7 linked regions of the Oryctolagus cuniculus genome follow. The protein of the gene in region 6 interacts with the protein of the main gene of each other region in a pairwise test. Links are inferred from orthologs where the notes say so. Each region holds a gene or a part of one and is shown on either strand. Other genes may lie near its edges.

Region 1 (2,483 bases), on a different chromosome or scaffold from region 6:
CATCAGTTCAGACCCAACTGAAAATGGCCCACAGGACGCTCGTCTGCACCCCTCAGCCTCAGCTGCCTCACCTACAAAACGAGGCGTGGGAGTGCGCCTCCAGCCCAGCAAGGAGGATGCCTGCCTCCCACACCAGGGTGCCTGGCTTCTATTCCGGCTCTCACTCCCGACTCCAGTTTCCTGCTAATGCCGACTCTGGAATTCCGGGCAGCCGCTGATGGCCCAAGAAATCGGTTTCCTGCGTTCCATGTGGGAGACCTGGATTGAATTCCCAGCTCCTGCCTGCAGCCCCAACCCAGGCTACTGAGGACATTTGGAGAGGGAACCAGCAGAAGGAAGCTTTCTTTGTGTCTCTTGAATGAATAAGTAATAAATTGCAAATGAGGCTTCTCCGTGGGAGTGCACTCTAAGGAGGAAATCAATGGTCTCTCTAAAGGCTTTGGTCCAGGGCCCGGCGTAATAGGTGACCAAATGCCAGCATCACTCATTCACCTTTCATGGAGCACCTGCTCCACCAGACACTGCTCTCCAGGCTGGGGACTCCACAATGAACAAGAGACGCCCAGATCCCTTTTTTGTGGGGCTGATATGCTAGTGGGAGAGACGGCCCGTGTCAAGGTCAGAAGGAACAGTGGATCCAGGGTAGAAAAATGCCGACGAGGACACGGCGGATAGGTGGGGGGAGGGAGGGACGCGTGTGTGATGAGGGGAGGGAATAAAGTTTGCAGAGGCCAGAATGGCGCTACGGCCAGTGTCCTCTCCCCAGCACACGCCCTGCGCGACCTCAGGCCAATCTCTCCCTCTCGGAGCCTCGTCTCCTTGGAAGGGGAGCAAGATTGTCTTCAGTCGCTCAGCAAGGACTGCCGGGTAATAAATACGCCCTGGACAAACGCTGGCTACAGCCCTGTGTGCAGCCTCACCTAGGCGGCTTCCCTTCTCGGGGACAAGCTGAAGCAAACAGGACAGGTCCCGCATGGGGGGGTTCCGAGGGCCCCAGTCCCCCCTAGCATCCCTCCCCACACCCGACCTCACCTGTCAGGCTGGTCTGCCGCCGCCGTTTCCGGCCCTGAGAGGTACCAGGCCCGCCTGGGGACTCCTCGGGCCGTTCCGGGGAGCGAGGTACCAGGGTGCAGGTCAGCGACAGGTCCACGTGGTCCTCCTGAGCCGCTGGCAGCAGGGCGGCTGAGGTGCTCGGCCGCTTGCACCCTGCCGGGTCCTCCCTGCCACCCCGGGGCCCCGGGGCCAGGTAGAGCTTGGGCAGACCCAGGCCCCGCACGCGCTCCCAGGCGAAGTTGCCCTCCAGCGGCGTCTCAGTGACAAAGTCGAAGTTCCAGCGTTCGCGGGCCTCCTGCAGGCAGTCGGCCATGAGTGCGTCGCAGTCTCGGCGCAGCTGCTCGCTGTCCACGGGCCCGAAGAGGCGGCGGCAAGCCTTGCTCCTGTGCGGGGGCTGTGGCGCCTCGTCCGACGGCTGCGACATGCTGCCTAGGGCTGGGACAGTGGAAGGGTGGCCTTGGTGAGGACGCTTCCCGGTTCCCAACAAGGACTTTCTACCGCACCCTGGCTGGGGCGGGGCATCCACCCCCACCCCCCAACAGACCCCAGGTGGGGGCAGAACTCAGCCAGCCAGGCACCCTGACGTCAATGGGGGCATGGGCAGCACGGGGCGAGCTTATGTCCACAGCATGACCTCACTGCAATGGCCTGGCCGGGAGCAGGGTCCTGTTTGCCATCAGCGTTATCAGCTAAAATCAATTTGTCCTCCCCTGAGGTGGCCCTCAGGGGTGTGAATTGCCAGAGTCCAGTAGTTTCCCAGTGATAGTCCTGGCCAGGAAGTCGGTTCCCAGAGGGAGGCGTAGGCAGGGGCTCCTCCAGCCTCCCAACACAACCTCCCCCATCATTCCTGCCTGGAAAAGTGAACCCCGGGCTTTGGAGTAAAAACACGCAGGCTGTCATCCCAGCCCCACGGCTTCCCACGTAGACGTTGCATGTCTCTGGGCCTCCGTTTCCTGGTCTATGGAAGCTGAGAGAGTGCCAGGGTGGGGGCAGGAGTCCCTCCAGGCAGGCCGAGCAGCAGCAGGTGTGACAGGGGCTGGGTTGGAGGGCAGGCTCCGCGGGGCGACCCCGACCAGTGGCTTAGCGTCTCTGCGCTCCCCTTTCCTCCTCTCTAGGAAGAGGCCGGTGACAGCAACAGTCTCAGAGGTGGGGGACATGCTTGGGCAGCACCTGGCCAAGGCGCTGAGAAGACCGTGGTGTTAGGACGCCTCTGTGCCTGCAGCTCTGGCTGGGCCTCCTCCCTGCCTCTCCCCCTCCAGACGGCAGCTGACAGGTGCCGTAGGCTGGGGGCCTTTCCCAAGGATGGCATCAGGTGGGTGGCCTCGGGGGAAGGTGGGGCGGGGTGGCGGTCTCTCCCCCGGCTGAGCCACATCCTGCCAGGCACACCAGGTGAGCCAAAGTCTGGACCCTTCACAGCCCTGCCTGCCTCC
Region 2 (4,442 bases), on a different chromosome or scaffold from region 6:
AGGGACATCAGGCGTCCGAGGAGTCCATCTCCGGACTCCCTTTCCCCAAAGTTTTTAGGGGTGGTGAACAAGAAAGACCCCTTTGGCCTGGCCAGACTGGGCAGAAGCTTTGCGGGAAGGAACCCGCAACCATGGCGAGGTCAGCATCTTGGAGAAGCGGGCCGGGCTCTGCGCAAAGCACGGACTTCTCCTGCCTTATCCCCCTAACGAGTGAGTGGCAGCCCAACTGCCGCCCGGACGCCACTGCTCCCGCAATCGCACCCTTAGTTCTCACAGGGTCCTTGTTTCCGCCCCCCTCCCAGGCTCCTCTCTGGCAGGCCTGGAGCACAGCAGCCAGGCGGCGGCCGGCAAAGTTTCAGGGTGCGGGCCCCTGGCCAACACGGGCGGCGACCTCGGCGCCCCAGCCCTGGCCCAGGTGCAATGCGCGGCAGCCCCAGCCTTCAGGGAGCTCCCGCGTCTATGCAGTACTCGGTGCCCATTTGGGAAGCCTCCCTCCATTCGCTGCTAACCACACCCAGCCCTTATGGAGAGGGCAGAGGACACCTGGCGAAATAGGAGAGGGCTGGATGCGCACCGCCAACCACTCACGTTGTGCCGGCCCGGACACGGGGAGGAGGGGGGAGGCGCGTGCGGCTGAAACAACACCGGGGAGACCAGAGACCCCGGCCGTGCCGCGCCGGGCAGGAACCCCGCCGGCGTGTCCCAGCGGGGCAGCGCGGGCCGCGGTGTGCACGCCGCATAGCCCGTGTGGTGCGTGACGGGCTGTCGCCGCAATGTGCAGCCCGGTGACACTGATGGATGTGCCAATGGCTGGACGGACAGATGTTGGGGCGGATCGCACCGCGCGCGGCGCCTGGGCGGGGGAGGGCCAAGCAGTCCTAGGGCGGCGGCGGCGGCGGCCAACGCGGAGCCCCAAGCTCAGGCCGCGGCCCGCGGCGGGAGGGGGCGCGGGAGCCGAGGTGGGCCTAGCGGCGAGGGGAAGGGCAGGAGGAGGGGAGCTGGGCCGGAGAGAACTCCCTGGCGTGCAGCGCGGCGCGCACACTACCTCCCGTGCGCCCGGGAGGATGGGCCGGGGCCCGGGGCCGCCGACCCGCGCGGTGCCCACCTCCCGCAGCCGACAGTCGGGCCGCCGCAGCGGCGTCGGCCAACTCACCCGTGTCCTCGCTCGCGGGCAGCGCCTGTCGCCCACGGGGCCGCCTTTCGGGCCGCAGGCGCCCGGCGCGGGAAGCCCCCCGCCCCAGGCCCGGAGCCCCGCAGCACCCCGCCTCCCGGCCCCGCCCGGGGCCCGCAGCCGCCAACTCGGAGCGCTCCCGCGTGCCGGGGCCCGCAGCCACCGCATGGCCGGAGGACAGCGGCGGCGCCTCTGCGTCCCGGGGGCATCGGGGCCGGGCGGTGCGCAGCGGGGAGCTGGGATCTTACCGTCAGAGTAGACCGCGGGCTCCCGGTCTACGAGAGAAGAAAGCATGCGGTGAACTTTTAAACAAACTTGCAGAAACAATCACAGAGAGAAAATAAAAAGGAGACAGGGCAGAGGAAGAGGGGGGAGAGGAACCAAAAAAAAAAAAAAAAAAAAGGAATAGAAAGAAAAAAAAAAGAGGAAGGAAGGAAGGAGGCGGCCACGGCTCGAAGCTCCGGGAGCGCTGGGGCAGCCAGTCCCGGGGCGCGGGGCGCCGGCCCTCGCAGCGGCTGCGGGCCTCAGGGCCCGCGGCAGCTCCGGGGACCCAGCCTGCGCGCCCCGGCGCAGCGCCGCCTCAGGGACCGTGGGCCCCGGAGGCCCCGCCACCGCCGCCCGGCAGCGCCCGGAGCCGGCCCCGCCGCGGCCGCCCCATTCCCGGCCCGAGAGCCGGCCCAGGGAGACGCAATCGAGCCCGCAGCGCATCGATGCGCCGCCGCCCGCGCCGCTCGGGCTCCGGCTCCTGCTCCCCCGCCGCCGCCGCCACCGCCGCCCGGGGGTCGCCCCCTTGAGCCCCGGCCCACCCGCGCCCTCGCCGCCGCCAGTAAGTGCGCCCGCGTCGCTCGGCCGCCACCGGCGCGGCCCCGCCAGCTCCTCCTCCCCCGCGGCCCGCCGGCCGCACCCGCCCGGAGCCTCGGCGACCCCGATCACCCGATCAATAATCAATCCCCCCGCGCGCACTCCCGCCCGCAGGCCAGGCGCGCGGCGGCGTGGCGGGCCCCCCACTCGGGGGCGCCCCGGGGAGGCGAGGCGGGGGATGGGCGCGCGAGTTCGAGTTTCTTCTCCCGCCCCCGTCCCGCCCCGGGATCGGGCTGCGCGGCGGGGCGCCCCGGGGGCGAGGGCGAGGGGCGGGCCGGCGGGGCCGTGACCGTCCCGAAGTCAGCTGAGGAAACTTGGGAGTCGCCCCCTCCCACGCCGGCCCCCCGGGACGCGCCCGGGAAAGTTTGTCCGCCGCCGAAGGGGGGCTTGGGCAAGGGGCGGCGGCGGGTCCCGGGGGAGGAGCCCCGGGAGGCGCGGGGCCTGAGGGCGGCCCGCACGCCTCCTCCCTCGAGGGCCACAGGGCATCCTCCGGGGCCGCGGGACGGCGCGGGCCGAGAGCGGGGCGGCCGGGGGCGGCCCGGGGGTGGGGGGCGAGGCCGGCCGGGGAGGCGGCGGCGCGGGCAAGGGGCCGCGACCGCCCCGGGACGGGCTCGGCGGGGCCGGCGCCTCGCCCCTGCGTGGCTCGCTCCGGGGCTGAGGCGGAGGGGCGGCGCCCCTCTGCCCGGCCTGGGCGGGGGTCCCGGGCGCCGGGGGTTGGGGGGGCCCGGGGCGGGGGCGCGGCGCCCCCGCGGGCGGCCGAGTGACACGATCATCTCCTTTTCCTTTAAGCTTGCCTGTTGCCGACGCCGCCGCTCCAGCCGCGCCGCGGGCAGAAGACTGGACCGCCGAGCCCCGGGCCGCGGTGGTGGTGGCGGCGGCGGCGGCAGCGGCGGCGGCGGCGGCGGCGGCGCGCCCCCCCTCCCGAGGCCGTGACCCCCTGCCCGGGGGCGGGGGGCCGGGGCCGGACCGGCCGGGGCCGCTCCCGCGCTCCTCCTCCCGCCCCTCCGCCCGCCTCCGCCGCGTCTCCCCGCCCCCCAGCCCCGAACCCGGCGCACCTCGTCTGGGGACGGGGCGGGGGGTGGGGGGGCAGGGCCGCCGCGGCTCCCCGCCCCCTCCTCCTCCGGCCTCCGGAGCGATTTGTCAAACTTCCCATTCCGCCGGCAGCGCGGTCCTCCTCCTCCTCCTCCTCCTCCTCCTCCCGCCCCCTCCCCCGCGCTCCTCCCTCGCCCGCCCTCCTTCTTCCCTCCGCACGTTCGGGGAGCGCGGCGGAGCGCGGCGCGGGGGGGACGCGGAGAGCCGGGGCGCAGCAGCAGCCTGCTGGCGGCCGCTCTCCGGGGGGAGCAGCGAGCAGGCCCGCCTCGCCCCCCCCGCGCGGGCCCGCCGCCCCTCCCTCGCGCGCTCAGCCCGGCGGCGGCGGCGGCGGCGGTGGCAGTCGCCGGAGCAGCATCATGCCGAGGAGGAAGCAGCAGGCGCCCCGGCGCGCAGCAGGTACGAGCCGCTTCCCCTTCCTCCCGCTCTCCGCCTCCTCTTCCTCCGCGCGCCCCGGCCGCCAGCCGCGTCTCCCGGGCGGGTGCGGGCGCCCACTAACTCCGGGCGCCCGACTCTCTGGCCGCTCCGCGCCGTGGGTGCGCGCGCCCCCCGGACGCCCCGCCGAGCGCTCTGCCCCGCGTCCCGCTCGCACCCACTTGGGGAAGCGCGCGCGGGCCGGGCCGGGCCGGGCCGGGCCGAGCGGACGGGAGGGGAGCCCCTGGTGTGTGTGTGTCTGTTGCGGGGCGGGGGTGGGGTGGGGTGGGATGGGGGCGGGCGGGGTCGCCTGAGTTCCCCGGGACACCGTCAGTGTCCTCCCGCGGCCAGCCGGCGGGGCACTGCCCGGAGCGTGCGGGGCGAGGGAGCCGGACCCTTGGCCGCCTCCCTGCCGCTCTGATCGACCCTGCGTTTGTCGGGCCCACGCCGGGCACGGCGGTGGAGAGCGGAGCGCGCGGGGTCTGGGTATTGTCAGCTGCCTGTCAGGCCGGCGCCCCGCGCGGGCACTCCCTCCGCCGGGCCCCCTCGCTGCGGGCACCGCGGCTCCCACCCGCGTCTCCTCCTGCTACACTTACTTCTGGGACGCGACACTACTTCTCCCCACCCCACCCCCCCACTTTATTTTATTATTTTATTTTTTGCCAGGAGTGTCAACTCCCGTTAAAAATGGGACGATTTTCTTCTTCTTATCATCGTTATTATTATTCTTTCCTTTTCTGGCAAAGGCATCGCTGAGAACAAAACAGAACCGTCTCTCTCTCTCACACACACAACATTATTTTGCAATAATGTCGGTTGGGGCCATGCTGCCTGGAAGAAGGGTTTCTGGCCCGTTGCCACCCTTGATTTGATGACTGATTGATCGCCCGTCATGCTGCTGCCTTTG
Region 3 (4,439 bases), on a different chromosome or scaffold from region 6:
ATTTCTGTGAACTGTCATAAATGACAAGAGACTATTGACTTCGTGGATCTGAGGTCAGGTTAAAGTGGATTTGACAACAGGTATACACCACATGTGGGAATCTTCTTCTAAGACTTCATGGACTTGGGTTGGGGCATTTGCCAAATTCCTAGAAGACTTCACTGTGTGACATTCAATAGGTTTTAGTTTGGATTTGTACATAAGTTTTTTTTCCCCTCTCAAATAAAGATAAACTCTTGGTGGATAGAGGTTAGATTTGATATAACTTTGTATGTATTAGTCTTATGGAAAAGAACTCTTAAATTGAAAAAAATTTTTTTCTCTCTGGCCTTCCTGTCCCTGTAAATGACAAGTGTGTTTGTGTGTGTGCATGCATGTATGTATGCATGTGTGTTGCACATACAAAACTGTTGTGCAATGCATGTATGTGCATCACATGCATGTTGGCATAAGTATGTGCATGCTTGTGTAGGCATGTATATTGGTATGTGTGTGCATATATGTGGTACATGTATATATACACACACGTGTGTGTGCATGTATGCATTGCAAACACACTCATGCTCTTGGACATGGGAAGGGCCATTTACCTGGATGAGACGCACAGGGTTCTGCATGATGTCCTCTCCCCCGAAGAGGTAGAGTCTTTGGTCTTTCACAGCAACGGCGGGGTGCAGAACCGCCACCGGCATGCTAGCCATGCTCTCCCAGGCGTTGCAGAGGCTGTCGTACCTCTCCATGGAGCCCAGGAGCTCCTGTCCGTCTCCAATGCCCCCGATGCAGAAGATAAAGTTCCTGTGAGCGGTGCTTCTGTGGGAGTAGCGGCCCACCAGCATGGGCTCCGCCAGCCGCCACTGATTGAGTTTCAGGGAGAAGACGTAGACGTTGTGACTGACCACGCTCTTGCCTGCACTGACGGCCATGCCCCCGAGGACATAGACGCTGCGGTGCAAGGCCACAGCCGAGGGCTTGTACAGCCGGGTGGGGAGTTTCGCAAGGCTGTGCCATTGGCGGGTCTGGCTGTCGTACAGCAGGACGTCCCTGGTGGTCTGCTGGTTATCTTTCCTCCCACCCAAGAGGATGAGGAAATCCTGGTAAGAGTTTCTAGGGGGCACGTGGCCCAGGGCTCTGCAGCCTGCAGCACTGGTGCCGTGCAGAGAAAACATCTGCGTCTTGGCCGTCTCCAGGATGGTCTGGCACGCGGGCGAGGACTGCAGGAGGTCGTCGTTGGCGATGAAGTGGTGGAAGAAGGCTGGGTGCACGTACTGAAGCCGGACCTGCGCGAACAGCTCCTGTATGTAGCGTTTCCGGTTCTGCAGGTCGTGTTTGATCCAGACCATGAGGGCCTCAAACACCTTTTCCTCCTCCCCGCAGAGCCCATCATCTCCAAGGTAGTCTCTCAACTCCAGGGCACAGAGCTCCTTCAGGTCAGCCGACTTGGCCACCTCCGGGAACGAGGTCAAGGCCACCTCCCTGGCTCTCTTCTTGAGGGTCTCGCAGCTCAGGATCTCCGAGAGTCTGATCATGCCCAGGCAGTTGCCAGGGGCCAGCTGGCTCTGCAGGTACGAGGAGCAGGCCTCAAACAGCTTGGGGTACTGTAGCATCGAGGCCGCCTCCATCAAGGGCAGGACGTTCTCAGCCGCGATGTGCACCTGCCCGGTGTACACATACGCTATGATCTGTTCCAGGGTCGGCCAGTCGATGCCTTTCAGCTGAACCTTGGCCTCACTGCTCTCCCGGAAGTGGCTGCAGAACATGGCCCTAAAGTAGGGGCTGCTGGAGGCCAGCACATTTCGGTGGCAGAGGACCTCCTGGGCCCCGGCACAGATGCTCACGTCCGTCAGGATCCCGTTTTGTCGGAAGCCATCGAGTTGCCTCAACAAGTCGGAGGAGAAGTCAGGGTCTTTGAAGAGCAGCCCGTCTGGAGACTCCTCGTCCATCCTACAGAGAGGGGGCAGAAACCCCAAGAGGGAGCCCGAGTGAAGTCCCTCTCGGCGACATGGGCTGGGGCCTCCAAGACCCAGTGCACCTGTGTCCATCTATCAGGATGCCAGCAGGTACCACCTGGATGGCACATTGTGAAGATTAAAAAGGGAGGCTGCCCACACCCCAGACCTCAAATTGGACACCTTTTTATTTGGTGGGGGAGATTGTTAGGGTATCTTCAGCTAATCCAAGGTGGGGGTGGGACCGGAACCTGCAAGCTGTTGGAAGTTAGTTGGCTGTCAGCGGAAGCAAGGCAGCAGCTGTGGCTTCGTGCAGCGGGAGCGTGTGAGCCTTTGCACAGGTCCCCAGCATGTCTGCTGGTTAGCAAACCTATCAGAAAGCCTCTTTCTGCGTGTTAGTCACTCCCCGAGGATGACATGCTGGGGGTGTGGCCCTCTGCTCAGTGAAATGAGGGATAAAAGGGGACCTGAGCAATAAATTGAGATATTCACAAACTTGACTTCATAGAGTCTTTGGGGGGTTTTGTCTTCAAAACAGAAGAACTTAAAAGCAAAAGACTGGCCAGGAGACCCTGGCTCTCTCACTGCGCTCTGGCAGTGCAACCTGCAGAGAGCTGGACACCAGGGGTGTTTACCTTGTGTCGGTGGAGTGACATCCACCGTGGCCGCCGGGTCTGCCTCGTTTCCCCTGAGAGTTTTCACCTCGAGCGCCAGGCGAAAGCACAAACCCCCAGACCTCGGCTTCTGTGGCACCTGATCTGTCCTGGGAGACTTCTGGATTGTTTATGCTGAGGGCACTTTCACAGTTTTCTGGAGGTCTGTGCGAGGGCCGCTGGGCAGGCAGACAGTGTATACATTCCAGGGCTAAGAATAGTTGCGTATGTACTTTCCACTGTTACGACATGTGACTTCCCAGTTGCCTTTTGCAGTAGCTCCGGGACCTGCAGGGCCGGCGCATGCCCACACGCCTTGTTTCCTTGGCGAGTGTTTACATCGGCATAAATAGACCAGGAGCAACGGCCTCTCTCAGAGCAGGCCCTGCTGCCCACTTGGAACCTCCCTGAGTCCCTTGTCCTGAAAGTGCCTGGGAATTCTAGATGTCTGTAAACAGATTGCTGTGCCCTGCGGGGAGGCAGCCACTGGACGTGGTGCTGAGCCCTGCAGAGGGTGGCAGTGGTCCCAGGGAAGGCAGATCACTGGCCCACGGGTGCTGCTCCGTGGATCTCTGTTTGCCACCAGCTGCCTAGTAGGATCATGGACAGACTCCAAGGTGACGGAATTGTGACAGATGTTGTGTTTAAATGCTTTTTTTTTTTTTTTTTTTGGTGAAAGGCCTTTCTTGGGCCTGCTTAACCTGGGAGCGTCTGTGTTAAGGTGGCTGTGTTCCTCTGTTACACCTGCCTCTCCCCAGTACCTGCTGATTGCTCTCCAGCCAGTTTTTCAAACCGTCTTCCTTTCCTGTTTGACTTGTCTGTTTTCTTACAACAGGCTGGCTTCTGCAAGACATGTTGCTCCAGAGAGAAAGAGAAGAGGAGGAGGAGGAGGAGGTGGAGGAAAAGGAGAGGGGGAGATGGAGAGAGGGAGAGAAGAGAAAGCAGAGGAAGGGGCTGGTGAGAAAACATTGGCGATGGGGTAGGAGAGGCAGCCTCTAGTTCTAAGAATCAGAGCCACAATGGAGGGCTTGAGACCCACGAGGAAGAGTAAGGGGACTCGGGGTCTGTCCTGCTCCTGCCTTCAGGGTGGGCCATGATCGCTGGGGGTCTGTCCTGCTGCTGCCTCCAGGGTGGGCCATGATTTCTCCAGCCATGAGTGGCAGGGAAGCCTGACTCCTGCCTAAGTCCTGTTCAGACCATTGCAGCATGGTCCATGCTGCGAGTCTCTCTCCCTCCACTACAGCTACCTGTCTCACCAGTGCAGTAACCAGTGGCAAGGCAGCTCAGCGTTTTCTAGTCCACCATATTGTGCCCTTGGAGGGCACCCCTGGCCTGCAGGAGCCCAGAACATGTGGTCTTCCACTCACATATCTTTATTCTGGCTCCGTGAGACAACTGGCAGATGCGTGTTTGCCTCTGGTCCTTGCTCGGGAGGCTGGGCTGGGCTGGGCTGGCCTTTAGGATCGCTCTCCCCAACAGCTGCAGGCCATAGGGGTGGATCATGTCCCCAGAGACTTCAGAAAGTCAGGTCCGGGAAGTGTATCCGAAATCTCTCCCTGGGGCTTGGGGCCTGGAGGGCAGAATTAGGAGCTGCAGGCCTGAGCCAAGGAGCCCCATGGAGGTGCAAGCGAGGAGCAGGAGATGGGGGGCTGTGGTGCTGGTGTCAGGGCTGGTGCTGATGACACAGGCCAGCGGCCGAGGTCCTGGAAGCACTGGACACCTGTTCTACCTTTAGCCTCTCCTTGTGCCTTTCCCTTTGCCTTTTTTTTTTTTTTTTTTTTTTTGACAGGCAGAGTGGACAGTGTGAGAGAGAGACAGAGAGAAAGGTCTTCCTTTTTGC
Region 4 (3,717 bases), on a different chromosome or scaffold from region 6:
TTCGTCTGGTTGAGAACTTAGATCCATTTAAGACAGAAGTTCTGAAATTAGAAATGCATGTGAATAGAACATTTAATTTGATACTGAAGTAATTTGATTAAATACACAAAGGGAATTGTGTGGATTTAATTGGAACAGCACTGGAATGAACAGCACTTTGGGAATGAACTTCAATCTCAATGCGGGTCTTAGATGAAATGATATTGCCAGTATTGGCTTTGCTTTCAGTAATTAAATATTTATAAGGCAGCTTAGCTTACTAAATATAACATTTAACACAACTTCAAATTCTTGCTGCCCTTTCTTTCAATCTGTAGAGAGAATCAGTTCCTAGCCTGGCTTCTTAAAACCAAAAAACTACTGGAAAAAATAGCTAAAAATTTAATTCTTAGCTTTTTCTCTTCATATCTCCCAACACCTCCCTCACAGAAGAAAAAAACAGGCAAGGAATAGCACTAATAAAATGACTATTACATTTAATGTCATTTCTTTGTTTTCTCTTAGCTAACATCCTGCATAGAATTAAAGGTAAATCAATTTAATTAATAGAAGGGAGAGAATTAGTAACAGTTCTTGGAATCTTGGGCTGACTTAGTGTAAATGGAGCTAAGAACTCACTAAGGGCCCCTCAATTGTGTTCATAAAAGTGTTTTATAGCCTGCATCTTGTAAGTTACTGAAATTAAATGGTATTTAATTTTTTCAGTCCTTTCTCCACTCCTACTTAGTTGGACAAAAACAAAAAAGGCATTCTCATCAATATGGTTGCCAAATAGAATTCAAAATTATGAACCAGATTTACTTGAGAATTGAGTGTGCCTTTAGGCAAATTTGTGATGATTACGCCAAGAAGGAAAGATGTTGGGTTCTATAAAACCTACCTCACACTACTACTCACATATTTATTACAAAAATACTTACTAAACCCCTACACAGTGACTGGCACTACTGTAGTATTAAAAATATAGATGTAAATAAATTAAACAGAATCCCTATGGCTGGCACTGTGGCACAGCAGGTTAACACTCTGGCCTGAAGCGCCGGCATCCCATAAGGGCGCTGGTTTGAAACCTGGCTGCTCCACTTCTCATCCAGCTCTCTTTTATGCCCTGGGAGAACGGTGGAGGATGGTCCAAGTCCTTGGGGCCCTGCACCCATGTGGGAGACCCAGAAGAAGTTCCTGGCTCCTGGCTTCAGATCGGCACAGTTCCGGCAGTTGCAGCCAATTGGGGAGTGAACAAACAGATGGAAGACCTCTCTCTGCCTCTCCTTCTCTGTCTGTGTAACTTGGACTTTCAAATAAATAAATAAATCTTAAAAAAAAAAAAAAACACACAGAATCCCTGCCTTCATGGAAATTTCTATAGAATTAATTGTACTTGAACTTGCTATCAGGAGGGAGAGGGATCCTGAGAGGATCTTTACCTTTTATTTGTCTTAGTTCCCTTTTAATGTTAATCTCTGCCATGCATACCATTAACACATTTTGTTACTGTTTATCCATGAGTTCTGTTTCTTAATCACATGGAAATATTTCAATTATGCATGGAATGCAATTTAAAACAGTCAAATTAGCTCTAATCACCATATTGATTCAATTAAATTCTCATAAACAGTTTGCCTTTCTTACCTGTACAACACTACTTAGCTTGAGATGAGCGGCTGCTTCATCTTTGGTAAGAAGAATGCAGTTCCAGGGGGACCACTCCAAGGACTTATCCCATCTGACCATGACCAAATCATTGAGATCATCCCAATCACTAAGTACTGACTGCGATGCCCAAATGTTCTCTGTCAGGTACTGAATATCCTGTAGCTGCATGTCAAAATAAGTTTGAAAATATTAGTTTTCTTCCAGAAATACTTTTTTAAAATTACTATGTTAATTGAGGGAATATTTAAATTATATTGAATATGTTATTTTAAATTTTATTCAAAGTATTCAAATTTCATGTATTTCCTACATATAGATTCAGAAGCATAGTGAAATTTCCCACCCTGCCCTCTTTCCTGCCCATGCTCCCAGCCTTCTTCCTCCTCCCTCTCTTATTCACATTCTTATTTTTTACAATGATTTACGTTCAGTTAATTTTATGCTCATAACATTAACCCTAACTAAGTAAAGAGTTCAACAAATAGAATGAAGAGAAAAAAACACTTGTCTTCAGCAGCGGAGACAGGGGCTGTAAGCAATCATTAAATCTCAAAATGTTCATTTCACTCCAATAGATTACCTTTTAGATTCTCTATTAGTTATCACAGATCAGGGAGAACATATGGTATTTGTCTTTTTGGAACTGGCTTATTTCATCAAGTACAATGGTCTCCAGTTTCACCCATTTTATTGAAAATGACAGGATTTCTTTTTCTTTCTTATTTTTACTGCTGTGTAGTATGCCAAAGTGTATATATATATCATTATTTCTTTATCCAGTCTTCAGTTGATGGACATATGGGTTGAGTCCATATCTTAGCTATTGGGAATCAAGATGCAATAAACATGGGAGTACATATAACTCTTTCATATGCTGATTTCATTTCATTTGGGAATAGGATAGTTGGATCACATGGTAGGTCTATATCCAGATTTCTAAAGTATCACCATACTGTATTCCACAGTGACTGCACCAGTTTTACATTCTCACCAACAGTGGATTATGGTACCTTTTTCCCCACATCCTCACCAGCATTTGTCCTTTGTTGATTTCTGTAAGAGAGCCAGTCTACAACTGGGGTGAGGTTAAATCTCATTGAAGTTTTCATTTTCATTTCCCTGATGCCTAGTGATCCTGAGAATTTTTTTCATATATCTATTGGCCATCTGAATTTCCTTTCTTTAGAAATATCTCTTCAAGTCTTTGCCCTTTCTTTGTAGGATTGTTTTGTTTTTAGGTATCTTGGTCTCTTTATGGATTCTAGATGTTAAACCATTATCAGCTGTGCAGTTTGCAAATATTTTCTCCCATTGGGTCGGTTGCCTCTTCATTTGCTAAGTGTTTCTTTTGCAGTGCAATAGCTTCTCAGATTGATGTAGTCCCATTTGTCTCCTTTTGGCTTTGATGGCCTGTGCTTCTGGGTTCTTTCCACTGCCTACATCTTGCAGAGTTTCCCCAGTGTTCTCTACTGATCTGATGGTATCAGGTCATAGATTTAGGTCCTTGATCCATTTTGAGTGGATTTTCTTGTAAGTGTAAGGGAGGGGTCTTGTTTCATACTTCTGCACTTGTGAATTCAGTTTTCCCAGCAACATTTATTGAAGAGATGGTCCTTGCTCCAAGGATTGATTTTAGTTCTGTGGGGAGCAACTGGGAGCAACTCGGACTAGACTAAGTTACTGGAATTAAGACTTATTCTATGCATCTGCTCTCCCACAATATGGCACTGGGAGAGGAGGAAACAGCTTCTATACAGCTGCCTCCAGTTCAACCAATAAACTGTAGGACCTGCTCCTGATTGGAGGAGAGCAGCGTACTCGGCGTGTGGGTAGCAGAGTTGGGATTGGCGGAAGAGGACTATAAAGGAGGAGAGAGACAACATGCACCAGGAACATCTGAAGGAACACCTGAGCAGCCCCCGAAAGAGCCGGCTGGCGGTGTGCCGCTCCCCTGCGGAAGTGGGGAAAGTGGCAGGGGGCCCGCCCCTCCATGGAGGTGGAGGGACGGTAGCCAACCCGGGAGGAACCAGCAGCAAACCCGGGGAGGGCCGAGCAGACGAAAGA
Region 5 (4,254 bases), on a different chromosome or scaffold from region 6:
TCACGCCCCAAGTGCCTGCAAACACCAGGTTTGGAAGAGGCTGACGCCAGAAGCCAGGAATTCCCGGGGTGTGTCAGCAGCAGCTGCGCCAGATGCAGGGCTGGGGCATCTAGGGGCCCTCGAGTCAGCTGGAACCCACCCCTCTCCCTGAGGCCTGCCTCTCCGGGCAGCCTGCGTGGTTGGCACCACCTGGATGACAAGGGTCTGGCTTGGACGATTTCTGAAGCCATGATTTCTGGGTCCCGAGGCGGCCCCAGTACTGGCCCACAAGACCCAGCCAGCTCCTGGGTGTGGTCACTCATCAGCCGTCCAGGGTGGCTGAAGGATGTGTGGCTCCATCCTCCCTGCTGCCCTGACGTGGCTGGACGCCCACCCCCGCCCTGACTACGGGCAGGGCAGCTTCTGCTGGCCTGGGAGACTGGGGTGTGGTGTCCGCCCACCATACAACCTGGGAACAGCCACAAGGAATTCATGCTTTTCCTCGTGGTTAAGGTGAGTCCCGCACCTGCCACCTTCAGTGCCGCTGAGCGCCTAAGGCCTGGTGTGCCCAGCTGCCCCCAGCAGTCCCTGGCCCGCTCTCTGCAGCCGCCAGCACCCCATCACTAGGAGGCAGGCAGGCACCGGTCCTGGCCCCGCACCTTGGCACTCCTCAACTCTCCTGGGCCTGGGCCACCCTCTGTGTTGTGTGGTCTGGCCCCTCCTGGGGACTTCAGCTGTGGCAAAAGCCAGTCTCTCGCTTATCCGGGTCAGTGAGTCAGCTTGCCTCACCCCAACAGCAGCCCTGCCAGGCACAGGTCAGGGGTCGGGGCGTGGAGCCGCCAGGTACAGGGACAGGGGTCAGCTTCTGGCACCCCTTCCCCATCAGCCTGACCAGAGGAACCCACCCTCCTGCCGGCTGTGGGGCTCCCCAGTGTGGGCGGGCAGCTCCGGGAGCCAACCCCGGGCAGAGGCCCTAACGACCCAGGCTGGGTTCTGGGACGGCGCCGTGGTCGCACGGACCGAGGGGCAGGGTTGGCGGGGTCGGGGATGCTCGAGGACAGAGGAGGGGGAGCCGGCCGTGAAGGGACCCGGAGCGGCCTAACGGGCCCGGGCCGTTCGGGGGGCGGGGCTCCTGGGGGCGGGGCTCCAGGGGGCGCGTCCAGCCCGCCCCGCCCCGCGGCCCTCGCTCAGGGCGGTTTGCGGGGCCCGAATTCTCCGCAGGAGGTCGCCGCTCCCAGAGGACCCTTCCCAGCAGGCGGGGCCGTGAGTGCGGGGGCGGGGCCGGGGTCGGGGTCTCCACGGGGCCTGCGGCGGGGGCGAGGTCGGCACACTCGGGCGCGGGGCGGGGCCGGCGGGGGCGGGGCCGGGCGGGCGCGCGCGAACTACGCGTCCCAGGGTGCAGCGCGCGGCCGCGGGGCCGGGGGTTTGAGCCGAGGGTCGGCCCGCGGCGGCGGCGGCGGCGGAGGCGGCGGCCGGGGTCGGTCTGAGGCGGGCGCGGGGGCGCTGCCCCGAGGCGATGACGGGCAAGGAGGAGGAGATCGCGCGGATCGCCCGCAGGCTGGACAAGATGGTGACCAAGAAGAGCGCGGTGAGGGGCGCGGGCCGCTGGTACCCCCGCCCCGTCGAGACCCCGCCGAGGCCGCCGCCCCGCGTCAGGCCCGGGAGCCCCCACGGGGAAGGACGAGAGCCCCGGCAGAGACCCCTGGGACGCCGGGAGACCCCCGTGCCCGGGGCAGGGACCCCCGCCCGGGCCGCCCCGCCCTCCCCCTGCGCCCCGCAGACCCGAGGCCCGGCCCGACCCCCGGCCCAGGAGCCCCCGCCGCACGCTGGGCCCGCCCCCGGCCCTCGCCCCCACTCACGGGCTGCGGGGCCGAGTCCTCGCCCCTAGGGGCCCGGCGCCTGCGGCAAATGCCGCCGCCTCGACCGGACCCCACGGCCGGGCCGGTCCTGGAACGGCCTCACTCCCCGCAGCACCCCTGGCGACCGCCCAGCACCGCCGCGGTGGGGAGGGGGCGAGCATCCCGCGGACCGGCTCCGTGCACGGGACCTGTGCTGTCCCCGGGGCTGCGAGCTCCCGGGGCGGCCCCAGACGGCTGAGTCATGGGCTCCGGGACCGCGTGGGGGTGGGGCGGGTTCTTGTGGATGGGGTTCTCCAGGAACGGGCCCGACTGTCAGTCATCCTGGAAGCAGCACCCCCACCCCATTGTTTTCTCACCCCCCCAGGCCTGCAGCAAAGTAGGGGCGCTAGACTGGCTGGGGGAGACTAACAGGGAGGGGAGCGGCTGGGCAGGACTCGCTCCCTGGGAGGACAGGGAGGGAGGCCAGCACCTGAGAGCTGAGAGCCCCTTTTGGGGTCCGGAGACCTGGGAGAGCCAGCTTCCCCGTGTGCAGTGCCGGTGGGAACGCGGCCCTGGGAGATCCGAACTCGGCACAGCGCAGGAGCGGGGCCTGCCTGGGAGAGGGATCTGCGTGGTCACCCCCGCCCTTCTGGTCGGAGAGACACACACCGCACTGAAGGGATGGCGCCCGCAGGGAGCAGTGGGGGCGGGGGAGCTGGCCCCCCCGAGTCCCACCTTTAAGGAACAGAGGCTTGGCTGGGCACAAGGCATTGCAGGGAGGTGGGGCCCACACCCATCAGGGTCCTGGACCTGGGGAGCCTGGAGGAGCGGTGCCCGAGGGGAGATGCCCCTGTGTGTGACAGCCTGAGCCCTCCCCTACCTGGCCATGGCCCTTGGCGTCTGTGCTCCTGTGGTTTGTTCAGTGACCCCACATGGCTACGGTGAGGTTGTTGCGTGGATGCTGGACGGAAGGTCACGGGACCATAGGGACAGAGCCTGCAGAGCCACTTGGCTCCTTATCCTGGGTGCACCGGCTGGTGGGCGGAGCCCTGGTGTCTCCAGGTGGAGGCACTGAGGCATGGCCTATGGGCAGGAAGAGGTGGGATTGTCCACTGAGCTCTAGGAAGCCCCCCTTTCTCCTTCCAGGAGGGTGCCATAGACCTGCTGAGGGAACTCAAGGCCATGCCCGTCACACTGCACCTGCTCCAGGTAGGTCCTTGCCTGCCCCCGGCCTGGGGCAGCTCCTGGGAGAGCAGTGTCCAAGGGCACACTGATGGGCACAGGCCTGTTCCTGGCTCTGGCTCTCAATGAGACGTTTCGATATCCCACCCTGTCCTCGTGGGTTCTACTGGGAGATGTCAGAGTCCCCCTGGGGGCTCCCCACCACCCCCCGACCCAGGCGGCTTGTTCACAGGCCACTCGTGTGGGGATGTCGGTCAACGCCCTGAGAAAGCAGAGCTCAGACGAAGAGGTCATCGCGCTGGCCAAGTCTCTCATCAAGTCGTGGAAGAAGCTGCTGGGTGTGGGTCGGGCAGTGAGGGCTCTGTGCTTGGAGGAGGGGTGCCCAGGGGGTGCTGGCCTCCTGCTTGTCAGGCACAGTGCTGCCTGGAGCTGGAACTGGACCGGGGCCTGCCTTGGAGGTGCTGCAGGAGGCTGGGGCCCCCAGAACCTGCTGGGCCGGGCAAAGCTGAGGTGCCCAGGGCCAGGGGGGCAGGAGGTGGCCCAGGGTGGGGGCACTGGTACGAGTGGGCTGTGCCACTGGGACAGGAAAGCAGCCATGCCTCTGGGCCCTGGGAGGGGGAGCCTTCCTAGGCTGTCCTGGGCACTTACCTCTGTGAGGCAGCCACGTGACCTGTGTGGCCAATGGACACATGCGACACACATGTGGGCTGTCCCCAGTGCAGGCCTCCCAAGGCGTGGGGTTCAGGAGGAGCCTGCTCTGTGCTGGAGGGTGGACCCAAAGAGACCCCCCCTAGGCAAGAAAGGGTATTGGGGTGGTGGCCTCCTGGCTGGGGCAGGGACCGGGACCGTGGCCGAAGGCGGTGGCCAGGGCTCTGCTTTGCTGGAGTCCTCTGTCCCCTTCACTCACTGCCTCTTCTCCGGAAACTGCAGACGCTTCAGATGCCAGAGCCAGGGACCGGGGGAGGGGTGCGCCTCTGCCTGCCTCGTCCTCCAAGGCCGCCTCCGAGGCCACGGATCCCAGGTAGAGCACCTGGGGAGCAGGTGCCGCTGTGACCCTGGGCGGTGGTCAGGGGAAGCGTTGGTCAGCCCAGTCCCACCTGGCTGGGTGTGCCTTGCGGTCAGTGAGCTGCTCTGGGTCTTCCCCTGCCTGCCTACCCTGGGGCCTGTCCTGGACCTGGATGCTCACTGGCCTGCTCTGCCTGGTGTCTGTAGACGCTGGCCCTTCCTCCTGGACAGAGGCAGCCCCCGTCCTGCC
Region 6 (4,163 bases):
ACTCAAATCTCTGCTGGCCTCCACGTGTGGCGCCCAGGCCTGGGTCCCTCTGCCGAAGGATGCTATGACCACTATTCGACAGGCTGCATTGTCTGTGCCTCCCAGCCTTTTTGCTTTTATGTATTTTAGGTACTAGTAAGAGGCTGCTTCACTACAAACCCATGAGAAGTGATGGCAAATCTCCCTGCCATCTCCTCCTAGAGATCTCGCCTGATAGGTGTTCAGGGAGTTCCTTAGTCCAAGGGAGAAACCCAGGTGGCAGGCAAGGTGTGGCTTCTCACACAGGACTTGAGCAGGCACAGCATTTGGTCCGGAACCCTGATCTGGGTAAAGCTACTGGCTGTGAGACTCTCGGGCCAATGATGGCTGGTTTGGATACTTAGAAGGATAGGAGGTGGGAGTGGCCTCAATGGGGAGATGGCAGGAGAGACTTGGGGGTGCTGGGCACACATAAAGAGGGCACAGGACAGACACACAGTAGGGGGGTCAAAGGCACAGCATGGGATGGCCTGGCTTGGCCCATTCTTTCCCCCCAAACATGCTGCCCTAAGCAACCTAAGAAGCCAAGCATTTTCTTGATTAAGTTAAAAATCACCCATGTTTGGGGCTGGCTTTGTGGTGTAGTGGGTTAAGCCACTGCCTGCAACGCTGGCATCCCACATGGGCACCAGTTCAATTCCCAGCTGCTCTACTTCTGATCCAGCTCCTTCCTAATGTACCTAAGCAAGCAGAGGAAGATGGCCCAAGTTCTTGGGTCCCAGCACCCATGGGGGCGACCCAGATGAAGCTTCTGGCTCCCAGCTTTGGCCTGGCCCAAATCCAACTGTTGCAGCCATTTGAGGAATGAACCAGAAGATGGAAGATCTATCTCTCCCTCTGCCTTTCAAACAAATACAACGAATCTTAAAAAACAAAAACAAAAACAAAAAACCTGTGTTCAATACATTCTCTCCAAACCTGTGATGCAGATGAAGAACACTTGTTCATGGTCTCCATGTCACTGACACGCATGCTAAGCCATCCAGCTCAAGTCTACTCCGGGTTTTTACATCATTTGCAAGGGCAGATTTCTGGGTGTTTTCCCCCTTATGTTCCCTGAGATCTGTTCCAATAGCCTACTAGAACCTTCCCCAACAGCATAGGTCAAGAAAGCATCTCTATAAGGGCCAGTGCTGTGGCATAGTGGGTAAAGCTGCTGCCTGCAGTGCCAGCATCCCCTATGGGCACTGGTTCTAGTCCCGGCTGCTCCACTTCCGATCCAGCTCTGCTATGGCCTGGGAAAGCAGTAGAAGATGGCCCAAGTCCTTGGACCCCTGCATCAGTGTGGGAGATCCAGAAGAAGCTCCTGGCTCCTGGCTTCTGGCTTCTAGCTTTGGATCAGCCCAGCTCTAGGCATTGTGGCCATTTGGGGAGTGAACCAGCAGATGGAAGACCTCTCTCTCTCTCTCTCTCTCTGCCTCTCTGTAACTCTGCCTTTGAAATAAACAAATAAATCTTAAAAAAAAAAAAAAAAAAAAAAGGAGAAAAGAAAGCCCCTTTATAGACCAGCCTGGCACGTGCTCCTTGTATTTTTGAAGCCTGCGACTAAAATGGCTTCTGTGAGTTTGCTTCACTATGCTTTGCTCCACCACCACGGTAAATAAAACCTGGCTGTACGCTGGGGTGTACGCTGGGGAACACAACCTCTCCGCCTTCTCTCTGTACGAGCCAGGGGAGGCCTCCGTGCTGAGCAGTTCGGAGGGCCACAGGCATGAACTGACGCTGGGGATGGGACGGTTCCTAGTCTCCTACCTGCCATGTCTCATTTCGCTGGGCTTCGCCTTCAGAACAAACCACTCTGTGTGAGGACGGTGCTTTCTCATGGGGGTTACTCTTTCCTTCTCTCACTGACCCTTTCCTTCTCCCGGTTTTCCACACTGTTCTCAAAGTCCGAAGCCCCAGACTGAAATGCAGAGTCGAGCGCAGGCTCTCACGGAGCCCCCGGGGGTAGGAGCCGGCCTCCCGGCTGCTGCCCCAGTACAGGCTGTACCCGCCAGCCTGCTGGGCGGCTGCTGACTCATGCTTACCTTGGGATCCACAGGAAGGAGCCCGGCTCCTCCCCTCTTCAGCCACAACAGCTACTGCCCGCCTCCCGGAGCCCCCCGCCCACCCCCTTCCGGGTCTCCACGCCAAGCCCACCTGGAAGACGTCGTTGGCGCACTTGCGGCACAGGTTGTGTTGGCAGGGCAGGATCACCACCGGCTTGGAGAACATCTCCAGGCAGATGGGGCAGATGAGCTGCTTCTCGAGGTTGTCCATGCTGTGCGCATCCCCTAGCAGAGGCTTGAAACCCACCGTGAAGTTCATCCCTTCAGCGATCGTGCCTGCCCTGGCCGCGGCCCTGGTCCTGGCCTTCTCCCGCTGCCTCGGGACCCTTCCTCGCGCCCCTTAAGCAGTCTGTAGACGCTCTGTTCCCTTCGGCTGCTCGCTCTGGAAATAGCTCTGCTACAGCTCCTGTCCCTTCCTCTCACAACTTGCCTCGTCCGTCCGTAGGGCGCGGGTTCCAGACGCTTCTCGGTCTCTCTGCTCTTTGCCCTGCACCCTGCCCGGCCTCTCTCTCCCCTTCTCTAAATTCTCTTTTGTCCCCCAAACGACTCTCTCCTGTCCACTCTGTGGGCAGCACTGTCTGTCCCTTACTCCCCAGAGAGGAGATTAATTTTACTGTGGGGGTGGGGAGAGAGGGGCATCTGCATGACATTCCAGCTCCCGATTTAGCTCGTGTAAGGCGAGCCCCAGCTGTCACCCAGTGAGTGACCCTGACTCACACAGGGATGGGCGGCTCCCTCTAGCAAGGGCAGGGTGAGCGTCACTCCTGACGGTGAAAGGTGGGCCAGCAGTCATCCAGAGGCTCCTGGGAGCCCCTGGCCCCGTGCTCTGGCTTGGGGTCCAGAACAGTGACACAGACTAAAGCGGCCTGTATGAGGGGCAGCATGGTTCATGGCTCAGGGTGGGAGGAGAGATCTGGCCAGACCTTCGGAGAGGGTCAATGACAGTCTCCTGCTCCCCAAGACCAAGTGGTTCAGAACAGGGCACCGGACACTAGGGAGACAGCCTCTCGTCCAACACGTCTGGCCCAGTTTTGTGCTTGCCCAGCCATTTCTTCACTCTAGGGAAAGAAGCTCAGGAGGCTGCAAGTGGCTGCTGCAGTCCTGAGAGAGTGGGATTCTGGCCCGCCCACCCACTGCTGGGGCCACTCCACGGAATTTCAGTTTGTTAGGAAACTGGGAGATGCTGGGCAGGCGGAAAGGACCTGAGAGCCAGAGACCTATTTTGAGCACCAGGCAGTCAGTCTCCAGGGAAACTTCAGAGCACCGAGAAAGCCACAGCCGCAGAGCATGGGCAGCGTCTGCCCGGCCCGACACGTGTCCCAGACTCCTGCCCTGCGAACCAGGCTCGCCGCACGTGGCTTTCTCGCTTTTTCTCCTACGGCCTTCTTCCTCTGTCGCTGGCACCATCTGTCTTCTTTGGGCCCAACACACGCACTGGGATTGTCAAAAGTTCTTTTATTTACTAACATTCCTTCACCTTTCTCCCAGACAAGGGTGAAGTTAGAGGAGTTCCTAGGCTCTGACCCTGAGTGGGCGGAGAACGGGTGGTGTGGAGAGGCAGGACGAAGAAGGAAGAGCGGGGAAAGAGTCTGCAAGGCACAGCCTTCGCCTCGTCACGTTTCCCGTCCTGTTTTAAGGACAAAATGCAGGGCGACCGGCCTGCACAAGGCGAGTCCAGAGGGTGGGGGCGAGCAGATGCTGAAGCAAGAACTTTGGCCAACCCCGGGGGCCAGGCTGGCGGGGGCTGTGCCGGCAGCTGGGGTCCAGGGACAGTCCACAGGTGGGATAACTGCCCCAAGCCGCATAAGCACTCACTTCTCCTGGGCTGACTCGAGGTGGCAGGGCTGAGCTGGCCACCAGAGGAGGAAGACCAGCCCCAGAAAGGTGTCTTGGCTTAGGAAGGAGGCTGATGGTAGGAGTTCTTGGTCCACAGTGGCAACAAAGGAAGGTTAACTGGTGCAGCAGCTCTGGGGACAGGGCCCACCCTGCTCGGTCATCAAATCTTGATGGAGAAATGCAAGTGGCTCAGACCCCAAGGTAGACCCAGGAGAGACAGTCCTCAGGGAAAGTCTGCCA
Region 7 (4,399 bases), on a different chromosome or scaffold from region 6:
ACTCAACCCATTAAGCTCTGTGATCTACTGTGTCTTTGGAAAACCTGGTTAAAAAAAAAAAGGTAATTTTCCCCCTATACAATAAGGATAAGTTTACCAGAACATATCCAATATCAATTATATAAAAAAAGACAGCGTGTGTGCCGTGTCCACTGCAACGACTACTTCAGGAGCTGGGAGCTACTCCAACCCTGGGAGCTGCCCGGGATCAACACGACCCACGTGCAGTCAGCTGCAGGCTGCACGCCACTCCTTCACACACACCTGGAGTCGGACGTTGATTAAATATAAAAAGGGTGAGAACAAATACACACGGACCCATGATCGCATCAAGAAGCTGCTCTCTGCAGAAGTACACGAGAGGGGACTTTCGGGAGGCTGCTGCCAGGACCGAGAGGGTTAAAGCTATGGCTTAGGGAAGCACCCAAGTGAGCTGTAGGAAGGCATTTGTAGAGTAGACTCTGCAGCATCAAAGGATGATTTTCTAAAGGAGGCGAATGCTTTCTCAGTTAACCTAAATTCTGAGGCTTTCCGTAGCTGAGGGCTAGAAACAAGATCCAAAGAAAAGAGCCATGTTCAACGTCTAAGGAAGGTGACTGCCGTTAGGCTCGTGATGCTAAATGGTCCAAAAAGCCTTTGGTGGTGTGATATGGACAAGGAAAAAAATACACAAACCACATAACACCATTAAAACCAAAAAACATTTTTTTTCATTTAAAAAAGTATTTAGAACACATAAAACAAGGCAACATCTATTCTTTTTTCTCATCTTCCGGTATGGGGTCTGTCGGCGGCTCCTCCACCGTGGCACTGTTGCTCTCCGAACCGGTGTTACTGTCACTGGTTCCTTCCTCGGCCAGACTGTCGACCCCCTCCTGCCCACTCTCCTTGTCCTCGGGAGTGGACGTGCCTTCTTCGCCATTCTGCTGGCTCTCTGTCGTTTCTTCCAGGTGCGTCTCCTCTGTAATCACACATGTGTCACCGTCAGTTCCAGACACACATGGGCCCTCATCACGCTGACAGCACGCGGCTGTGCTGCCCAGGAGGGCAGGTAACAGGCACCTGAGATGAGCCAGGGCTACGGAGGAATTTCTAGCATGTGCAGAATGATCCTGGGCGTGGAAAGCCACTCTCTAACCAGAAATTTCTGCTACGTGAATACAGATTAACTTACTTCTGACGAAAATTAAGCTGCTGAACTGAGCTGTGCTCTAAGTGTAAAATACACACAGGATTTCAAAGACTTAGAATACAAGAAAAGTAAAAAAGGTTAATTTTGTTTAAAATGTTGATTACATATTGAATGGTATTATTTAGAAAATACACATACATAATTATCTGTTAAAGATACTTTCATCTGACTTGACTTTTAAAAACGTCACTAGTAGAAAACTTTAAGTACGTATGTAACTCCCATTGTATTTCCGCTGGACAGAGCGGGCTTTGGATTAAATGCGGAGCAAGCCGACGTGGGAAGAATGAGGCTGGAATCTCGGACACGAGACAGAAGTCCTGGGCTGTCTTCTGCAAGACGTTCAACAGCACGAGGTTTCTGCTCTAACGGTCCCTGATAATTTTCCTCAGTTTTCCTTCGAAGCTAGACAGCCAGAACCCAAGTGAAGCCCTAGGCGTTTTGACACGGCTCACTGACAGATGACCAAACAGGCAGGGGCCGGGCGCCCTATCTAGCTGGAACATGAGCAGAGAACCTTACCCTCACTCTCAAACTCTCGCTTTAACCACAACAAAATGCTCATGCTCCCGACGTGCCGAGCTGAAGGTGCTCGCACGGAACAGAAAGGAGGGCAAACAGGAGCTGCCCGCTTGGACGGCCCGACTGGGCAGGAGCTGGGCCGGGACCAAGCCCTGCCACTGCTTCCCTTCCCACCTCCTGCTAATGTGCAACCCGTGGGCAGCAGACCAGGCCCCCGAAGAGCACCTGGGCCCCTGCCCTAGTGCGCAAAATGCAGACAGAACCCTGGCCCCCGGCTTCGGTCTGGCCCAGACCTGGCTGTTGTGGGCATCTGGGAGTAAATCAAAGGAAGAAATCTCTCTCTGCCCTTCAAATAAATAAAAATAAACATTTAAAGCCCTCCCAAGCATTAATCTGGTGAATCAAGCTTTTCAGAAACACCTCCTGGAGATCCACATTCTGGGCTGGTGCCGTGGTGCAGAAGGCAGGTAAGCCCAAGCCTGCAACGCGGCCCAGGTTCAAGTCCCGGCTGCTCCACTTCTGATCCGGCTCCCATGCTAATGCACCTGGGCCCCTGCACCCACGTGGGCGACCTGGAGGAAGCTCCTGGTTCCTGGTTTGAGCCTGGCATAGTCCTGGACATTTAGGGAGTGAACCAGCAGATGAAGATCTCTCTCTCCTTCTCTCTCTGTATTTCTGCCTTTCAAATAAATAAATTTTTTTTTTTCAAAAAAATCTATGTTCCATTAAGTGTTTCCCAGGCGTCTGTCAGCTTAATGCAAAGTACGGCTGCAGAGCCTCCGCCTGCAAAGACCGTGCAGGGAACTCCTGGCTGTTTCCCATGCCTTCCTTCCGCTCAGGCCTGTGTACAGGGGGCACTAGGCAGGGTCAAAGCAGTGCCAACAAGGGAGGTAATCGCAACACTTGAAGTAATAATCCATGTAAGCCGGACTAATTTACCAAAGATGGCCATGTTATTTGTTACCCCCCGAGATTTGTTACCAGGACAATCAGTGCCCCTGAAGTAAACTTTTCTAGGCTGGGGCCTGTCACCTTCTGGCGATGGCTACCTGGTGGCTGTGTCCAGCTTTGTGGCCCAGGGAGGCTCTGCTGCAACTCAGTGCTCTGCCGCCGCCACACAGCCGCAGACGACATGGGGACAATGGGACGGCTGTGTCCAGTAAAGACCCATTGGTGAAAACCAGGGGGCAGGCAGGATCTGGTCTGCAGGGTCTACTCTGCTGAAGGTGGTCCTACACAGCAAAGACAGTCTTAAGAGTGGTAACTGTGGGGGCTGGCACTGTGGCGTAGCTGGTACATCCATCGCCTGCAGTGCTGGCATCCATATGGGTGCCGGTTTGAGTCCTGGCTGCTCTGCTTTTTTTTTTTTAAAGATTTATTTATTTATTTGAAAGTCAGAGTTACAGGGGGGGGGCCTTCCATCTGCTGATGCACCCCCAATTGGCCACAAATGGCCGGAGCTGTGCCAATCAGAAGCCAGGAGCCAGGAGCTTCTTCCAACCAAGATGCCGGCACTGCAGGTAGTAGCTTTACCTTCTACACCACAGCACTGGCCCCAGCTGGCTGCTCCTCTTCCGATCTAGCTCTCTGCTATGGCCTGGGAAAGCAGTAGAAGATGGCCCAAGTCCTTGGGCCCTTGCACCTGCATGGGAGACCCAGAAGAAGCTCCTGGCTCCTGATAGGCCCAGCTCCGGCCGCTGAGGCCATCTGGGAGGTGAACCAGCAGATGGAAGACCTCTTTCTCTGCTTCTGCCTCTCTGTAACTCTGAAAAGTGCTAACTACTGCTTAAACAGTATTAGCACTAAGGGTTAAAATACTGCACGCTAGCTCTGTACCAGATCCAGGAGCAGATCTCTGCAGGCGGCTGCTAGGATGCTTCGAGTGAGGAGGCCGCAGTGGAGTAACTCACCCAAGCTGCAGGGCTGGCCGGCAGGGACGCAGTCCCAGACCTGATCTCATTCCAGAGCCGGTGCCCTCAACTGCTCTCCCATTCCACTTTGTATTCCCAAGCCAGACTGGGGACCCCCAAGGCCTCTGATCCCACACAGCAGACAACCCTCCACTGCCATTCTTCAGTGACCCCAACCTTCCAAGTGCAGCCACCAGAGACCAAGAACGTGGGACGAACCACGTGACCTTGGGGGCTGTTTGGAAGGAAAGACCGGCCGCGGCCTGACCCTCGTGGTGCGGCTGGCAGCGTACCCGTCTCCATTGGAATGCTCTCGTCGTCCTTCTTGTCCTCGGCTTTGCTGGCTGCGTGCTCCTCCTCGGGAATGCCGCTGCCCTGGGCGCGCTCCGCTTGCTCCGCTGCCTCCTTCTCCCTCTCCTCTTGCCTTTTGCGGGCCTGCTCCTCTGCCTGTGCGATTTCAGCTGCGATCTTCTCCATATCCACTTCTACCTTCAAACCGCACAACTAGCAGTCAGAGAAGAGAGAACTTTAGTAATGCCCTTTCCTTATCATTTCTGAGCCAGAGAAATCATTTCAAAGTGGGTGTTCCTTGCCTACGCAATCACACGTGGGTATTTCAAAAAGTTCAGAAACACAGAATTAAAAAATAAATTTTGATGTACTTTAAGAATTTTATTTATTTATATGAAAGGCATAGTGTTAGAAGGAGAGGCAGAGGGAGAGAACGAGGGATTTTTCAATTGTTGGTTCACTCTCTGAATGGCCGCAACAGCCA

Evidence for each region.
Region 1: the proteins of TRIM54 (region 6) and CDKN1A interact in binary tests that used the Homo sapiens proteins (3 or more experiments, as listed by UniProt). The two-hybrid records come from large-scale screens. The link is inferred for Oryctolagus cuniculus from reciprocal best matches to the Homo sapiens genes TRIM54 and CDKN1A.
Region 2: the proteins of TRIM54 (region 6) and TSHZ3 interact in binary tests that used the Homo sapiens proteins (3 or more experiments, as listed by UniProt). The two-hybrid records come from large-scale screens. The link is inferred for Oryctolagus cuniculus from reciprocal best matches to the Homo sapiens genes TRIM54 and TSHZ3.
Region 3: the proteins of TRIM54 (region 6) and KLHL38 interact in binary tests that used the Homo sapiens proteins (3 or more experiments, as listed by UniProt). The two-hybrid records come from large-scale screens. The link is inferred for Oryctolagus cuniculus from reciprocal best matches to the Homo sapiens genes TRIM54 and KLHL38.
Region 4: the proteins of TRIM54 (region 6) and IQUB interact in binary tests that used the Homo sapiens proteins (3 or more experiments, as listed by UniProt). The link is inferred for Oryctolagus cuniculus from reciprocal best matches to the Homo sapiens genes TRIM54 and IQUB.
Region 5: the proteins of TRIM54 (region 6) and TCEA2 interact in binary tests that used the Homo sapiens proteins (3 or more experiments, as listed by UniProt). The two-hybrid records come from large-scale screens. The link is inferred for Oryctolagus cuniculus from reciprocal best matches to the Homo sapiens genes TRIM54 and TCEA2.
Region 7: the proteins of TRIM54 (region 6) and SMARCE1 interact in binary tests that used the Homo sapiens proteins (3 or more experiments, as listed by UniProt). The two-hybrid records come from large-scale screens. The link is inferred for Oryctolagus cuniculus from reciprocal best matches to the Homo sapiens genes TRIM54 and SMARCE1.

What each region holds. Positions count from the first base shown.
Region 1 is NC_091436.1:132,894,504-132,896,986, forward strand, and holds part of CDKN1A (cyclin-dependent kinase inhibitor 1), read right to left. Parts: intron 1,489-2,483; 5' UTR 1,478-1,488; coding exon 1,033-1,477; intron 1-1,032. UniProt on the Homo sapiens protein: Plays an important role in controlling cell cycle progression and DNA damage-induced G2 arrest. Involved in p53/TP53 mediated inhibition of cellular proliferation in response to DNA damage.
Region 2 is NC_091449.1:24,912,639-24,917,080, forward strand, and holds the start of TSHZ3 (teashirt homolog 3), read left to right. Parts: upstream 1-1,609; 5' UTR 1,610-1,997; intron 1,998-2,692; exon of another isoform or gene 2,693-2,821; 5' UTR 2,822-3,480; coding exon 3,481-3,520; intron 3,521-4,442. UniProt on the Homo sapiens protein: Transcriptional regulator involved in developmental processes. Functions in association with APBB1, SET and HDAC factors as a transcriptional repressor, that inhibits the expression of CASP4.
Region 3 is NC_091437.1:149,374,321-149,378,759, forward strand, and holds the start of KLHL38 (kelch-like protein 38), read right to left. Parts: upstream 2,909-4,439; 5' UTR 2,582-2,908; intron 2,442-2,581; exon of another isoform or gene 1,942-2,441; 5' UTR 1,941-1,941; coding exon 591-1,940; exon of another isoform or gene 1-590.
Region 4 is NC_091434.1:159,631,166-159,634,882, forward strand, and holds part of IQUB (IQ motif and ubiquitin-like domain-containing protein), read right to left. Parts: intron 1,816-3,717; coding exon 1,630-1,815; intron 1-1,629. UniProt on the Homo sapiens protein: Adapter protein that anchors the radial spoke 1 (RS1) complex to the A microtubule of outer doublet microtubules in axonemes. The triple radial spokes (RS1, RS2 and RS3) are required to modulate beating of the sperm flagellum.
Region 5 is NC_091442.1:143,333-147,586, reverse strand, and holds the start of TCEA2 (transcription elongation factor A protein 2), read left to right. Parts: upstream 1-1,367; 5' UTR 1,368-1,495; coding exon 1,496-1,567; intron 1,568-2,963; coding exon 2,964-3,026; intron 3,027-3,231; coding exon 3,232-3,337; intron 3,338-3,929; coding exon 3,930-4,020; intron 4,021-4,254. UniProt on the Homo sapiens protein: Necessary for efficient RNA polymerase II transcription elongation past template-encoded arresting sites.
Region 6 is NC_091433.1:175,699,522-175,703,684, forward strand, and holds the start of TRIM54 (tripartite motif-containing protein 54), read right to left. Parts: upstream 2,803-4,163; 5' UTR 2,347-2,802; coding exon 2,179-2,346; intron 1-2,178. UniProt on the Homo sapiens protein: May bind and stabilize microtubules during myotubes formation.
Region 7 is NC_091448.1:21,904,262-21,908,660, reverse strand, and holds the end of SMARCE1 (SWI/SNF-related matrix-associated actin-dependent regulator of chromatin subfamily E member 1), read right to left. Parts: intron 4,129-4,399; coding exon 3,918-4,128; intron 962-3,917; coding exon 753-961; 3' UTR 688-752; downstream 1-687. UniProt on the Homo sapiens protein: Involved in transcriptional activation and repression of select genes by chromatin remodeling (alteration of DNA-nucleosome topology).